Linked DNA regions of Lepisosteus oculatus. The protein of the gene in region 2 interacts with the protein of the main gene of each other region in a biochemical or structural test. Links are inferred from orthologs where the notes say so. Each region holds a gene or a part of one and is shown on either strand. Other genes may lie near its edges.

Region 1 (7,978 bases), on a different chromosome or scaffold from region 2:
TGGGTCCTAACGCCCCAGTACACTGATGGGGACACCATGCCAAAAACAATTATTCTGATCTTTGGATGAAATGTAAAACTGAGTTCCTGACTCTCTGTGGTCATTAAAAATCCCAGGGTGTTACTCGAAAAGAGGAGGACTGTTACCCTGGTATCCTGGCCAAATTTTCCCCTGGCCTCCTAGAAATCCCCATCTATGAATTAGCTTCATCACCATGTTCTCCTTCCCAATGAGAGTTGGTGTGTGGTGAGTGTACTGGTGTAATTTGGCTATAGTTGCACAATCCAAGTGGGGCTACACACTGGTGCTGATAGAGGGGAGTCCCCATTACCCGTAAGGAGCACTGAGTGGAGTACCCAGAAAAGCCCTATAGAAGTGTGGGGAATTATTATTATTATTTCCGTGCTGCTAGTGACTGAAAAGAAAGTGGTCTCTTTCTTTTCAGTTTCACTCTTCTAAGGCTGACCCGACTCCGTTATTAGCTCCTTTAACATCGTGGTCCAAACCGAACAATGTCTCCGAAATGACGTACAATGACACCGACTCCTGGCTCCTCATACCGGCCACCTGCTGACCCAGACCGAGACTGAGCTGGTTTACCCGCGCACCCAGCCGATATGGATCGATAAATAGCCCCGGCGTCCTCCCCCGTCCATACCCATGCGCCTCAAAGCGGTCCCCCGGCGGGCAGCCAATCAGAGGGCCGGCTAGGACAGACGTAAACAACTGCACACCTTTTGTGCCCGAAATGAAAACCCCAACACCGAGACCCAGGCTCCTTGCAGAACAAACATCGCTACTTTGTATCATCAGCCACCCCCCTCCCCAAGAACTCGCCGACCAGCCCTGGCATTTTTCAAATCTCACATCACCAGCAACCGTGTCGCATTTACCGCCTATTGCCTGGCTGGCTAATCTAGATACCGATTAAAAATGCACGATCGTCGCGATGCCAGGCATTATCTGCGCCTTCGGTCCCATAAAGGTTACCCCTCCTTTTTTTTTTTTTAAGAGAGAGAGAGAGTTTCTGAAAACTTGAAAAATAAACCACTTGCTTTAAAAAAAAAACGGGCTCGGTGCAGGATTATTAAAAAAAACCGCAAAAGATTTTTTAAAAAAAGAAACCGTGCAAACGGTTTGGCCTAAAGCTCCGGTCTTTGAAGAGTGTTTTGTTTTTTTAAATAAGGACTAAAACTTTCTGGGGGAGTTCCCCCGCTACCCAGAGAAAGAGGAGGCCCAACGCGGAGCCCCGGCCTCGATTTCCACACAATAGCTACAGGCCGGGGAAACCAAGTGCGACAGCGCGGGCGGCAAAGCGAGACCGAGCTAGGCCTCCGTGCATGCACGCCGATGTAGTGAGTAATGAAAGGGATGTCTCACTGGCAAGCAACTGTCCGTCCAGTCCCGTGCCTGCTGGCCCGAGGGGGTCGCCCTTTTTGGGCACTCCTGTCCCACCGCCACCCGGCCCGGCGCCTGCAGCTCCTCCGAGTGGGTATCCGGCCGCTGGTCCCCCGGGCAGAGAGAGCGGGACGGGGCTGCCTCCGCCGCCGTGCAGCGCCAGGCCCGCCATGGACGGGTCCTCATGCAAGAACTGACACTCGTCTCCATAGAAGCAGGTCTTGTCCTTGGCGTAGTACCGGCAGAACTTCACCTTGACGCTGGGAATCCCGACCCCCGCCAGCGGAGTTGCTGAAGCTGGGAGCCCGCTGTTCATGGCCCTGCTGCTGCTGCTGCTGTCGCCACCGCCGCGGCCGCCGGAAGATACTCGAACATAGAGAGCGAAGCCGAGCAGACGAGACACCAAAGTGGGTTATTTGCAGCGTTCAACAGTAGGGACAAAGCCTGCGGTGCCGCCAGACACGGGCAAGCCGGAGCGACCCGATGCAGCGTATTTGGGTGCTTTTGCTTCCTGAATCGGCCGTCCTTTTGTACGTGCTGGAACAATATCCACGGCTGGGGTCCCAGGGCGCTACACGCACAGGGAAGTTTCTTTCACTTCACTGTTGTGTTTTTTTCTTCCTCTCTTCCTCTGGAATCACTTCGCTGAGCATGAGCAGACAGCTGCATTGTGGGTAGAGAGGCAATCCAACCAGAGCAAACTGCGCTGAGACCCTCAGCTGCCTCCGAGCGACCATCTTTATCAGCTTGGGATCTCCGACCTAAAAATCCGATTTCATTTACGGGGGGGAGGTTTTGAGATCGGATCGAAAAAGCCCCCCCAAAAAAGTAAAAAAAGGACTTCCTTTCGCTCGTGTTCGCACGAGAAAGGCGGTGGTCTCCAACAAACAGGTTGCACCGTCCTGGCAAGACAATGTCCCCCCGTGGCGTTTCCAAATCTGCTCTGTCCGCTGATCGGATGGCGCACTGAGACAGACCGGCGCCCAGCAGGGACCCCAGGTAGCGCAGTTACGCGCAATTCGCTCTGAACGGCCGCCCTGGCATGGCCCGCGACAGCGCTGCCAAATGCGAGGCGCTTTGAAGGAACCGGGGAAGAGAAAAACACCGTACGACAAATGTGCATGAGACAGTCGTCATGAGATTTTTTTTTTTTTAGATAAGTGGAAGGGAAAAATAAAGTGGACTGATTAGGGCCAAATAAAATGGACCTGGCTAGGCTGTGTGGGTCCGGGCAGCGCTACTCTGTGACAGGCACATACTGCCAGTGCCGCACTCACAATACACTACTGTGCAGTAGCTGATCCTTACCTTCACGGTAGGGTCTGGGAGTGAGTACAGGGAGGCGCGCTTCTGATCTGGGGAGGGACACTTCCCAGTCAGTGTAGCAGAAGGTGGTAGCCCTGTCTGTACCTCAGACGGCAGGCGGTGGGAGCAGAGCAAGCCGAGCTCTGAGTCGACACGTCTGCCTTGTATCGCGCAGTTTTGGATGGCCAGGCTGTGGCGACCGAGCCCCGTAACTTCGTAAAGTCTGCCTCTGCGAGGTGGCAGGTGGATTCTAGGTTAATCAGCGCTGCTTACCAGTTTGAGAGTTTTGCATCGTTAGTCATTGCCCTGTCGGTGCTGGGTGCTTTGTTACGTGTCACTACGAGATCGCACCTACTTGTGATGCGCCTTCTGTTATGGAGTTCAGCAGTGCCCTCATCAATTTCAGAGGTAGCTTTGCACTCTCCTTGTGGGAAACGTTGTCTCTCTAGTGTGCTTGTTTCCATGCTCGGGTTCTGCCATTGACCCAGCAAAAGATTTTTAAATAAAGATAAAAATATTGCTAAAGATAGGAAGTTAAATAAACATGTTTGAACTATATATATTCCTCCACCTCACTGCTTTTGGAAAAGTCATGAATCATATGTTGTTGTTGTTGTTGTTGTTTACTTTGCATACAGTTTGAAGAATTCAGGTATTGGATTAAGGTGGCTGAAAGTTTTGCACTGAAAGGTTATGTATTCATTACTTTAAAGACTAACATATGAGATTTATTAGATCAAGAAGTATTATAAATGAAAACATTTATACATGTATAAATAATTATAGAGACACTTCTTTCATTAAAATATGCCTGTTCAATAACTTTTATGTATTCTTAATATTCCCTTTTATCAAACTGTTGCTGTACCAGTGAAATTTCGGGTCCATTCCTAGGACATCTATGATTTTATCTTACAAGTATTTAGCTCTTTCAACTTTCCCAGTTATGATTTTACCAAGGACATTACTGAAACAGCACTCGTTAAGAGAATGATTTGCTCAATGATATCTAATGCTGGATGGCTTAATATTCTTCTTCCTGATTTAACTGAAGCTGTTGTTACTGTCATTCGTGACAGGCTTAAAAAAGAGCACATGAAAAATTATCTAGGGATCACTGATACATCCTTTGATTTGGCTCTTGACTGGCTTAAGGAATTTAAGGAATTGTGGTCCCACTGGATTCATGTAGTCAGTAAACAAATGTCCCTGACAAGTTATGTTAATTAAAACTGTTTAAATTGCAAAACCATTTCCACTTTTGTCAATACATAACAGAACCCAATTAATAAACTGCTTTAAATCAGCATTTGTCATGCTTGTGACATTGTGACGGTTATGGAGTTCCCCAGGGTTCTGTGCTGAGGCCTTTGCAGTTTAGTATGTCCATGCTGCCGCTATGTTGATGACACTCAGATTTACTTACAGGCTAAATCCGGCACCGTCCACCTGCAGGGCGTCCCTGACTGCTCCCATCATTCACAATGCATCAATTTATATTCAATGAATTCACATTAGTATAGAAAGTTCAAAAGCCTCATCAGGGCAGCTCAAAGTAAATGGTTTAGCGGCTCATAGAAAATGTTTCAGCAGCGAATCCACTTTCCCATTTAAACCTTATTGATTCCTTATCACGTTTTCCTCAGCATGAATTAAGTTTTTTCCTCTATCATCTACAATACTAAATTAAATGGTCAAACTTGCAGCAATTATAGCCTTTCGAAGCTCAAGCTGTGTGAGAGGAATTGTGTGGGCGAGTGTGAGCATGCATTTTTTGTTTGTTTGTCGAGGTAGACGGCTATGGTTGGTTTTGTGTGCTTGATGGAACAGTGATTAAATATACTGAAGAGAGGTAATTGCAGCAGAATTGCACCTGAACCTCCTTGAACTGTTTGAATTTCCTTCCTTAAAGGGAACCGCACCAGGATCCTCGAATTTTACAGCAGGAAAATAATTGTGAATAGCAGAATTAAGACTGCGGCACAGTAGTACAGTGTATACTGTATGTACAGTGTGTGGCATGAAGGTCAGGTGGAATTACACCATTTTCATGTATTTGCACTTTGGGGATGCTAATTCAGATTCAGAGCAATGCACCTGAATTGTGCGTGGACTCTGCTCTCCGGCTCATGAGCTGAGTTGAGCTCCACCTCAACACCACTGAAAGTTGGTAACGTGACGCAGAGACGGGCAGGCGTAACCTTTTGTCGGGCAGTGCCGTGTGCGAAGTTCTTCTTTTTGAAGTCCACCGCTCTCTGTTTTAGTGCACAGTCTTGGACGTGCACGATGAAACAGGCTGATTTACGGTAATGGGGCGATTTGCGATGCAAACCTTCTGCAAGGAAATCGTTCTGCTGGGTAAGTGAGGCGCAGCGCCACCGCGCCCAGACAGAATCAAGGCACTTTGATATCTACCATGTGATGCTTTGAATGAATTCACAATGCTGCAAATGGTAAACAGTTCTATTCTCTTGCGGCTTCACAGAGTTAATCGTTTTTTTTTTCAGAACGACTGTGGTATTTGTGTCAAATTCGTGATCTTTTACACACGCACCGTAACAGGTCCGTGTCGGAGACTACGCCGAAGGGGCTCCGCAGCGCCTCTCTTAATTACGATGATCTCAGCAGCTCGTTCAGCGGCTATTAATGTTGACCTTGTTTAAATGACCGTGTAATTTTACAATTAAACATAATTCAACCCACGGGACTTTTCCGTCCTCGATTTTCTTAAGTGAGAACATAAAGATTCAAATAAAGACAGCGAGGGAGAACAGTTCATTAAAATCCGTCGAAAGATAGTAGTAACAAGTTCTTTATCGCCATTTCTAAATATATCAATACCCAGTACACCAAAAACCGCAAAGATGCTAAACAAGGCCTTGATCTTATACTTAAAAGCAGTGTTTTGACCTAAAACTATGACGGACGCACATTTTAGTTTTAATACCACAATACCTTCTTCTTAAATCGTTATCTTGTTGGTGGACGGTTTTTGTCATTGTGTCATTCCTAGCTGCGCTCAAAACCAAACGGTTGTAAACACTTAAAAAAAGATTAAGTCACCAAATAACAAAAACTATTGACACAAATTTATAGCGAAGAGACGTAACCGTTTGTAATTTTAGAAGTTATAATATGCACCATTTAGGCGTCTTGCTGAGTAATTATTTGACTTTCAGCTCTGACGTTAAAACGGATATGAAAATAATCGGATGAGTCTGTCAACCAACAAAATACTCCTGCTTGTATACAGTACGCAGCACCTATAATCCTTTATGACTACATGCAAGCTCTACACAAAACATAAAAAACTAACCTAACATTTATTTTCAATGTCACACATTGCAACGTTGCTGTTTAACTCAAATTAATAAATGAATGTATTAATTTATTGACCGTAATTTCCGCCGGCTTTCCACACAACAACCTGTTCACCTGGTCTGATCGATGGCAGCGGCGAAAACCAGCTCAGTCAAATCTACAGATTTGTGTTCAGAGCAATTGAGTAAAAATATCAAACTGGCCAATTCCTTTCACTGCCAGATAACATCTTCAGAGACAAAACTTATTTCAGCTGTTAAAGGGAAGGGTGGTAGCGAAAAATGAGAATTATTGTCTGTATTTGAATAAGGTGTTGTTTACATCATTTTATTGTTATCATTATTAATATTAACAGTAACTTACAGTGGAACCGAAGTCTTTAGAAATAATTTTCCATCATTCATATATTATTTTTCCCTTTAGCCGATTGAATATCTGCCTCCTGTACTCAATTCTGTGTATATTCCATATAGCTTGCGCATCTGATACTGTAGACTTTATACTGAAACAATTTTTTATTTGTGAAGGTATTTCTCTCTAAAAAAAAACAGTTATCTTCTGTTAGGAGCGTTTTCATTAGCTCGTTTTAAACCTCGACGGAAAACTTAAGAATGTTTTCTAAACGTGTTTTTTTTTTTTAAAAACATATAGGCCAAAATATCTTGAAACACAACTACACGGTGCTTAAAGTTTCTGATCTTGCCTGTAAACCATGGCAACGATACCACCGTCACGGATGGATGTCTCTTTTTTGATCTATCTGAGCTCATTACACAGTTGGACTCATTCTTTGTCTTACTGGCCAAGCCGGGCACCTATACGACCAAGACGTTCGGTACACTACTCCAGCCCATCGAGTGCTTCAGTGAATCGTCCCTGTTGCTTGCCTGGAGTTACTCAGCGGACGCTTTCTGTATATTGCAGCTGTCACTCTTCCGCTGCTGTCGGCTGAAGCGCCAGGCGGTGGGACGGTGCCCCAAGTCCAATGTTTCGTGACGCGTAAGGTAAGAGAGACAACTGATTTGAAGAAGACACGGGGGATCTAAAAGTCACCCCTTCTCTGGCAGTGAAGCCTGGCACGACGTCCTTGTGTAACCAGGGCGATGCAGTTTGCAGCAGAGCTACAGATCAGAGACTCCTCTGATTGTCCTCCGATGGACATGTGGAGCTCGTCTTACCAAAGAGCTGCCTATATTGTGCTGGCAGCGTTTCCAACGAGAGCTACACTTCCAGAGGCCTGTGGAGGAGTGATTTTTCTTTTCTTTAGCACTCCATGTGAGGTTTCGGTTGGTTTAAAGGCATTCACCCACCAAATTAAGCGGAGTTTTAGTGTCTCCGAGGCCGAGACTGCCATGCTGGAATCAGAAAAAAAAAATTGTACCGCGCCTCCCCTAACTAGTACCGAAACAGTCGTCCTTTCTGCTAGCTCAGCTCACAAGCGACACATGCAAACCTCAATGAGGGAATGTTTCAACACACCCAGCTCAAATTAAACCAGAGGCTTTACAGATTCTGCTAAAAAGAAAGAAGGGAAAATGTATTCGTTTGTCATATTACATATTCTGATAACTGGTTTGCTAATTTATTTTAATTAAGGCCCGGGTCTTTCCACGCCCTTCGTTAACCAGAAATTTCGAATCGTTAACTCGTGAAAGAAGAAAAATTATGTTGTTTTTCTTATTTAGAGTGTCAGGTCGAAAATCACATGTGGAGCTTCCGTGCTAAAAATGCAGAACGGGACCTGTGTCTCTCCTGCGGGGAAGGTGACCAAAATGGAAATTGAGAAACACGAAACTGTTGAAGTACAGGCCCAGCTGAACAGTACAGAACACGTTGATTGTTACTGGCAACATAAGGAAAGGGGAGAATGTCTTTCCTATCGGGATGGGTACGTATTTTTATAATTATTCGTCATGTTCTCTCGTTAGTTCAGGTGGGTCGCTGCGTCTGCATG
Region 2 (7,788 bases):
CATTGTTTACTTCCTTTCCAGCACAATTTTAATACACAAATAATTTCATTTTTTTATCACAAAAGATTTGAAGACTCAAAATGATGTACAATCAGTACTAAAAAACACTTTCCATTGTATTTCCACAGTTTTTCTTTATCTGGAATAAATGTGATGCTTGAGAAGAAGTGCTGAAAGAAATAGCTTAACAAAACTTTATTTTGGGTTTTACTGCTGCACCTTCCTTTTTCTGTGAATACTATTTACTTCTCCCTACATTGCAGCTCAATGCTGTACTTTTAAATTGCAATAAAAGTACAATGTATGCTACTTTAATGATATATTTTTCTCATTAATTTCTTGAGGACAGTATTAACATCATAAGAATAAAAAAAATATTTCAATGTTTTCAGAATGCTGCCATTTAATTTGACATGCAAAATACAAGAGAACAGTGTTTATTTACGGTACCTTGCTCGTCCACCCTGTGGTTTTCACCTTAACTGGAAACAAAAACTCTAAAGCCTTTACATACAGGCATGCAAATTCATACAACTGTGTTCAGAAACCTAAAGTCAAGCTATAAACAGATCAGTCTAAGGAAGTCAGCTTTAGGCATGAAAAGTTTGCTTCCAGTTTCTTAATCATTAACAAAAGTGTTTTTATCCCCTTGCAATCAGCAGTGTGTGTCTATTATAATCGTGAGGTCCAGCAATTAATGTGTTAGGGTTAGTCCAATGGAAGCCATTTTTTAATTAAGCAAAAACACACAAATGACATGTTGTGAACCTGATTCTACAGCATGCATACAATTTCAGAATCATTCTTCCCTGATTACTTTTAAGAGACAAATACTTTGCTAGTTCTCACTGGTAACTCACATGAAAGCTATTTGGAAATAAAATCACATAAAATAAATGTGAAAATAAAATGGCAGCCCTTACATTGTTATTTAGGGGTTTTCTGATTATTAATTTACCCGTGGTTAGTTTAATTAGCTCAATGGTTAAACAGCAATTATTTAAAACTAGCAACAATTTATTTTCAAAGGCATGCTATATTTCATGTATGTAAATTCATACTGCTACTGTACACATGAATGGAAATAAAGACACAATGGTGAACTTATGGGAGTAACATCATAAAATGAGACAAAATGAATAAGAGCACTGTATTGACAATACTGTACTGTAGGTCTTGGACTTACTGCAGGAAACTCAAACTCTTAGATTAAAGATTCTCTGTTTTGCATGACAACATCACTACAACTATTAGATGCCAAATTTCTAGGGAGATAATTTAATTTAATACACGGAGCATTAAAACTTGCCTTTTGAATGTTTGGTTTAAAAATGTACAAAAATAAACTGAAAAATATTAATCACTAAAATCCTTCTGTTTATGTAGAGTTCCTGCACTGTATGAAATGTCATCATGGCAGTAGAATTCAGGATTTATATTATTTGTTAATTAACAGGAATTTAAATAGGACTAAATATCCCCTTTGTTACATTTTTCCATATATTTCTTTTCTTTCTGTATAATTATTAAAATACATTTTTTATTAATTTTATTGTACCTAGGCAGGACCTGTGCTAACCCAACTCCCCTCATGGGATATAACTCAACACTTGTTAATGTATTGTAAAAAAATAGTACTGTACTTGCAAACTTTAGTACAATTATATTTTTTCTTGATGTAAATTTCAAGGTTAAGCATACAGTACAGGTACTTCTGTCTGTAAACATATGAATCAAATAAAGCATTATCTTAAATCAATAAATCATACGAGCTAAGTGAACATAATGTTGTTCAACACTGCCATAACAGTGCCCTAAAGTGCATTTAAAAGTACATTTGAAAAAAAAAATAAAGTACTTTATATGCTTCATATATGTTTAAATATACTACCTTCCATGTTATTGCTAAGGACTAATATTAGTATTTCACAGTTTGTGTTAATCAGAAATGGGTGGGATGGTTTAGAAGAAGTGCTAAAAAGAAATGTTTGACTGCGAAAACATTATTTTCCACTTTCCAACTATTCTGCCTTCCTTTCTCTGTGAATACTAGTTCCCTTTCTCTGTATTACAGGACAAACATCCTAAAAATATTGTGTTCAAAAAACGCAAAAGCAACTCCAATGTGCAGCATTGGACTCCATTTCAATAATACATTTACACTACGTTCACTGTAATTTACAAGAAAGCTGACTATATACAGAATGCAACTTTAAATTAAATGTAAAAGATCAGTTACTTTAAAATGTGTTTAAAAGATATGAGCTTAACATATTAAAACTTGAGTTTACTTGACACACACAAAATTATCCTGTCTGAAAAAATAATATGTACTGTAGATAACCTAAATGTAATTTTAGGTTTAATAGTCCTGGTCATTTTTGTTAATTTAATAGAAAATAAAAAGAAAACGGTCACTGCTTCTGGCGCTTGCTTCGAAACATTAGAAATTAAAGAAGTCAAAAGAAAAATATATTTTACTATTAATAACGACGTACAAAGAGCCTCTACATATATATCATACAGTATGTATACAACACTATCATTAAATCATATCGAGATTCACTTGAGCTCTCACACAGTCAATTAAATAAAACAAATAGTGGAAAATTGCTCAGGTGCCTTTCATTTTTCTTTTGATCCAAAGTATTTCATTTACAGTGTGGCTAGCACTTTACTTTTTCATAAACTCTCTTTCAAAAAATAAAATCCCACAACATTAATTCATCCATACATTCAGTAGTCAATCAATAAGCAAAAACGTTACCTTTCACGTAGGTCCAAAACCTTTTCTAGCTGTCTCTGTGCTCGGAGAAAGAAGCAACCATATTCAACTGCTTGTGAAGTGAACAGGATGTGGTCTGGCTCTTCTTGGATATTTTGAAGTGATCACTCTGGAAGAATTTGTATCAGGAGGTGACATGAGTTTAGAAAATTGATCAACAGCAAATTGGAACTTTAACTTGACAATAAATTCTATATATATTTAACGCAATGTATTACTAATGTGTGTTACATTAAAGAGGTTACAAGACTTGAGTTTTTTGCAGAGGCCAGAGTACAATGTGGAAGTGTAATTTAGCTTCCCCTTTTTAACAGCTTGCAGCTACTTCCTTGACTTTTTTTTCTAGAATATGACTTCCCCTTTTGTCCAAAGTCTGTCTTGATTTAAAACATCAATATATGTATGTACTGTATGGTATGTAGATAGATGTATATGTGTCCATGTCGGAATGAATTTTTTTAAAAAATGTGGTTCAGGCATGCCTGTTCAATCATACAGAAAACAGGGCTTTAAAAGTATTGTAAAAAAGACAAACTACTATGCTGACAAACTCCTGTACAGTATGTGAGGATAATATTTGCAGTTTACTGTATGTACAGTATAGCAAATACCGTTATGCAATATAATACATTGAGTGAAGTAATATGATAGTTTGCTTAGACCTGGTAATGAAAATATTCTTACTGTATGATATTTTCTTACTGATAGGAAAATATATACAATATCTGGGTATCTTTGCATACATAATATCTACACTGTATGTTTGGGTTACAAACAACTACTATTACTGTAAGAAGTAATTCTTATTTACTACTACTGCAGAGTAAATAAATACAAGGCTTGTATTCAAACTATAAAGAAAGGCTTTAAGAGTTTCATCAATGCAATATAATGGGCACAGCAAAATTCACAATTTTGTAACTATTAACATTTTTCACTTTTCTTTTCATTTAAAAAAGTGTACATTTGAAAAATGAGTCATATGTAATATAAACTAATTTTTAAAAACTTTAACTTGACAATCAATCACTTGGTTATTGCATTCTAATACAATAGTATTAGAAATTTAGAAATTAACAACACAGGTTAGAAATTAACAGCATTGATATGGAATCAATCAATCAGACAGGCAGTCAGTCTGTGAATCTTTCAAATTGCAGTGAGCATAACAAATCTCTTGAAAAAAAGAGCGAAGAGACTTTGAACCAGTCAATTTAGTTTTTAGTAAAGATCAGAAAAGGTCTTGGTCTAAGCTGATGCTTGGAACCATATTTATAACATACAGTTGTACTATATAACATAAAAAAACAGAAATATGTGTGGAATCCATTTCATAATTAGAACGTCGTGGAAACATAAAGACATTTTTAATGAATTTATTTTAAACAGCCTTCTTTGACACTCAAAACTGACATCTAGTGGTTGTTCTTGGTTTATACAAACAGCACATCCCTCCTTCAATTTTCTAACAGCTTTATCCAATTCAAGAGTTGTAGAGGGTCCAGAGCCTATCCTGGTAAACAGCGGGCAAAGTAGGATGCAGGATACACCCTGGATGGGACACCAGTCCATTACAGGGTACACACAGACAGAAACACACACACTTACAGTATAACACAGCCCATTTTCCCAGAAACCAATGAATTTACCATTATATTTTTGGATTGTGGGAGGAAACCAGAGCAGCCAGAAGTAGCCCACATGAAGGGAGAACTTACTGTACAAACTCCATGCAGATAGCACCCTAGGTCTGTAAGTGAACTTGAGGCTCCAGTGTTGAAAGGCTGCAATGTTAACCACTGTAGCCACCATGCTTCCCACATAGACTACAATTATTTTTTAACACTATTTTTATTAATAGTGTATGATATAATTTTTCAAAGAGCTTGAAAGAGTACAATGTAAAATCTCACCTTTTCAGTTTATAAATAAATCTGTCCTTTATCTGTCCTTTAAGTTATGTGTTCAGCTCTTCCCATTTTTTCATTTTGGCGTATCTTTGGTCTGGATTAAATCAGAACTTCAGCCCACCTTCCAATGACAGAATTACAAACCCCTTACTCAATGGTGGGGTACAAAAGGAGGAGAAGGAGTAAGTATTCGTAAAACTCACAATATTACACTAGGTCTGTGTAGTTTCGTTGACAGGCAAGTTGAAGTTTTTATTTCATCCAGGTTTTACATATAAATTAACACGGAATTGCTTCAGGCTTGTGTCCAAACCACAGGTGAGAGAACAAGGACTACATAAAGCTCGTTTTAAAGATATGTGTTTTTTTAAACAAATGACCATGGTGTGGGAACTACCATTATGTGGTGTTGTTATTTTTCAAAATAACAAGCATGCACATGGAAGAGCTACCCGGTATCACTGGCAGTGTTATACTGAAATGTTTCTGTAAGAAGAGTTGGGCTGTAAGGCTCACTGCAAGGCTCCCGCAAGCTAGACCCTGGTCTAGAAAAATATTCAGACAGTAAGCTGGCTAAGCCTTGGTCCACATCTGTATCCTAGATTCAGATCTTAGCTGAAAAAAGTCCAGAAGAGCCAGTAACCATAAACCAGTCACATCTGATTGTATTTAAGACTTATGACAGCTAAACGCTAGGATATAACCCTGACTTTACAAGCAGAGAACTTAAACTAACGCAGACCAGCTCCTAACTTAAAGACAACAGAGGGACACCACTTTTCCATGAGGTACAATACATTAAGAAATGTGAGCAAAGTTCGACTCCTCTCCTTCCTCTCCTCATCATCCACCCCACTCCCCACCTTTTTCCTCCTCTTTCCCCCTTTCTATCCCACTGTCCTCATAGGACACCTCCACAGTTACTGACACTCACTGTGCCCCATGGGTTCATCAGTATTAGTCTCAGCTGGGCATGGCCTCCTCACTCATACATTTTGCCGACCCCCTACTCACTACATCCATTCAGTATAGTGTCGGCCCCCAACTTTAATTCCACCCCCAAGCATCTATCTAAAAATGGTGAAAAATATTTTTTAAGGTCATACTTTGCTCACTAAAATAAACATGTTAAATGAAAAACAGTTTTCTTCCAATCCCAAAAGAAACACTGATGTAGGACTCCCTTCTCCAGATTCCAGATGCCAGGATGTAGGTTGTCAGTTTTGATGACATCTGCTAAAAATCTGCTACACAAGCTAGTGAACATCAGTCCACTTCTGCAACCTGTTTGTTTTTCCCTGAGTCTAGTTGGAGTTGTTTCTTCATTGTTTCAGTAGCTTTGAAAAATTTGGAGCACCTTTGGCTAGGCCTTTTGGTATTCCACTTTCAGATTTAAAGACATGTCTGCCTATAACTACAATACAGTATGTCCATATACAGGTAAAGGCTAGATGATTTTGTAGCATTCTAAGTACCAACTTGCACTGATGTTTTTCCATTTATATTTGAGCCAATTAATCATTATTGTTCTGACCTGTAATAATGTATGCTTATGCTAGCAACTATTTTTAAATTTACTATTTTTAGTCAACCTCTCCAGAGTTATAATGTTCTTTGTACTGTTCATACTGAGACTGTAAATGGCTTAAGACTGCAGATGAAAGCATGGTGTTGTTCCAAAGTCCCAGCAGATGGCAGACTCTGCCTATCAGACTTCTCACGAAGCTCACTGTAAACTCATCGTGCTTTTCTTCTTCTAGTCTGTGTGTGTAAAAACTAGAACAAAGAACACTTTGAAATAAAGAGAGATTAAGGCAACATAATTACAACTGTTTCTTTCACTATTTAATTTTATGCTAAATCTTAAATTGTACTTGTATGTGCTATGTGGAAATTAGATCCAGTATATTTACATGTTGCCTTGCAACCAAAAGCATTTGCTTTTCTGTAAAATGAAAACATACTGTACTGTATCGCATGGTTAATCAAGCAACATAACTTTTCCTGTCAATAAACGTGAGTTTCAGCAAGAGCTAGCTGTCTCAAAACTTAAGAACATCCGATAAATTACAAATAAAAGTGGGCCATTAGGCCAGTCTTGCTCATTTGATTTTTCAGTAACAAAATGACACACAGCTATATCCTGATTGAAGCCTGAGAAGCAGCTTCAACCATCATACTGTAGCTTGCCAGTTTGTACTGTACTCCTTCAAGTTCCTCCTCTCTTCTTAGTTTTTAATGCACTTTGTTATGGTTTGCACTTGTGTTCTCTGACTCTTGTCCCATTTCCATAAAAAAGAAATTATTCACTCCAATACAAAGAAATGTACTAGTATAACATTTTAGTTAATGGAACATCTTCAGGTCAAGTGCAGGTCAGGACAATTATTCTATAGCCAGAAAGAGGATGAATGCTGTCAAAGCAGAATAGACTGCAGAGCTAGTAAGTTGCCTCTGTATTTTAATTAAACAGCTTTACTTTCCCATATGAAAAAGGATTTCTTTTTTAGAAACCTAAAAAAACAGAGTCTGGGGGCCTGTGACATTTGTGTTCATGAAACAAGGCTCACTGCTAACCAAAAAGTAGATAGAGAATATTGGAATAGCAAAATGCCAACATAGATTAAGAAAAAGGTTTGCTCAGAACACTTTTTGTAATTCTTGAACAAATGATGGCAGTAGTGGACATAAACAGAGAAATGGTATATTAAGATAAATATTATACATTAAATAATCTAAATATATGTTTTAAGTAGAACTATCTTTCTATAGAAAACACTAATTGTAAGAAGGATAAATCCTAAAGGAGCACAGATACAGGGTGAATGTTCAAATGGGAGCTGTGTAAATTCTGGAGTACCACAGGGAACTGCACTAGGTCCATTATTTTTTATGTATATTTATGGTCTATTTTCTGGAATAATTAATTAACTAGTCAAGTTTACATATGATGTAAAAACAGGAGGGTAGTAAACTGTAAACATTGCAAAGGAAATTTTTAAATGTATAAAAAAATCAAGACTCAGCTAACAGTGGCAACATTTATAGTGGGCAACATTTATGTGCAGAATGTTACATGCAGACAGAAAAAGT

What was found.
Region 1: of the proteins of syk (region 2) and flt3, one has a biochemical effect on the other in vitro, tested with the Homo sapiens proteins (2 studies listed by IntAct, with this or other methods). The link is inferred for Lepisosteus oculatus from reciprocal best matches to the Homo sapiens genes SYK and FLT3.

The regions. Positions count from the first base shown.
Region 1 is NC_090700.1:5,713,690-5,721,667, reverse strand, and holds the start of flt3 (receptor-type tyrosine-protein kinase FLT3), read left to right. Parts: upstream 1-4,933; 5' UTR 4,934-5,012; coding exon 5,013-5,061; intron 5,062-6,948; coding exon 6,949-7,028; intron 7,029-7,709; coding exon 7,710-7,912; intron 7,913-7,978. Other genes in the region: PAN2-PAN3 deadenylation complex subunit PAN3, read right to left, coding at 1,381-1,714. UniProt on the Homo sapiens protein: Tyrosine-protein kinase that acts as a cell-surface receptor for the cytokine FLT3LG and regulates differentiation, proliferation and survival of hematopoietic progenitor cells and of dendritic cells.
Region 2 is NC_090698.1:49,713,819-49,721,606, reverse strand, and holds the start of syk (tyrosine-protein kinase SYK), read right to left. Parts: upstream 3,082-7,788; 5' UTR 2,768-3,081; intron 1-2,767. UniProt on the Homo sapiens protein: Non-receptor tyrosine kinase which mediates signal transduction downstream of a variety of transmembrane receptors including classical immunoreceptors like the B-cell receptor (BCR).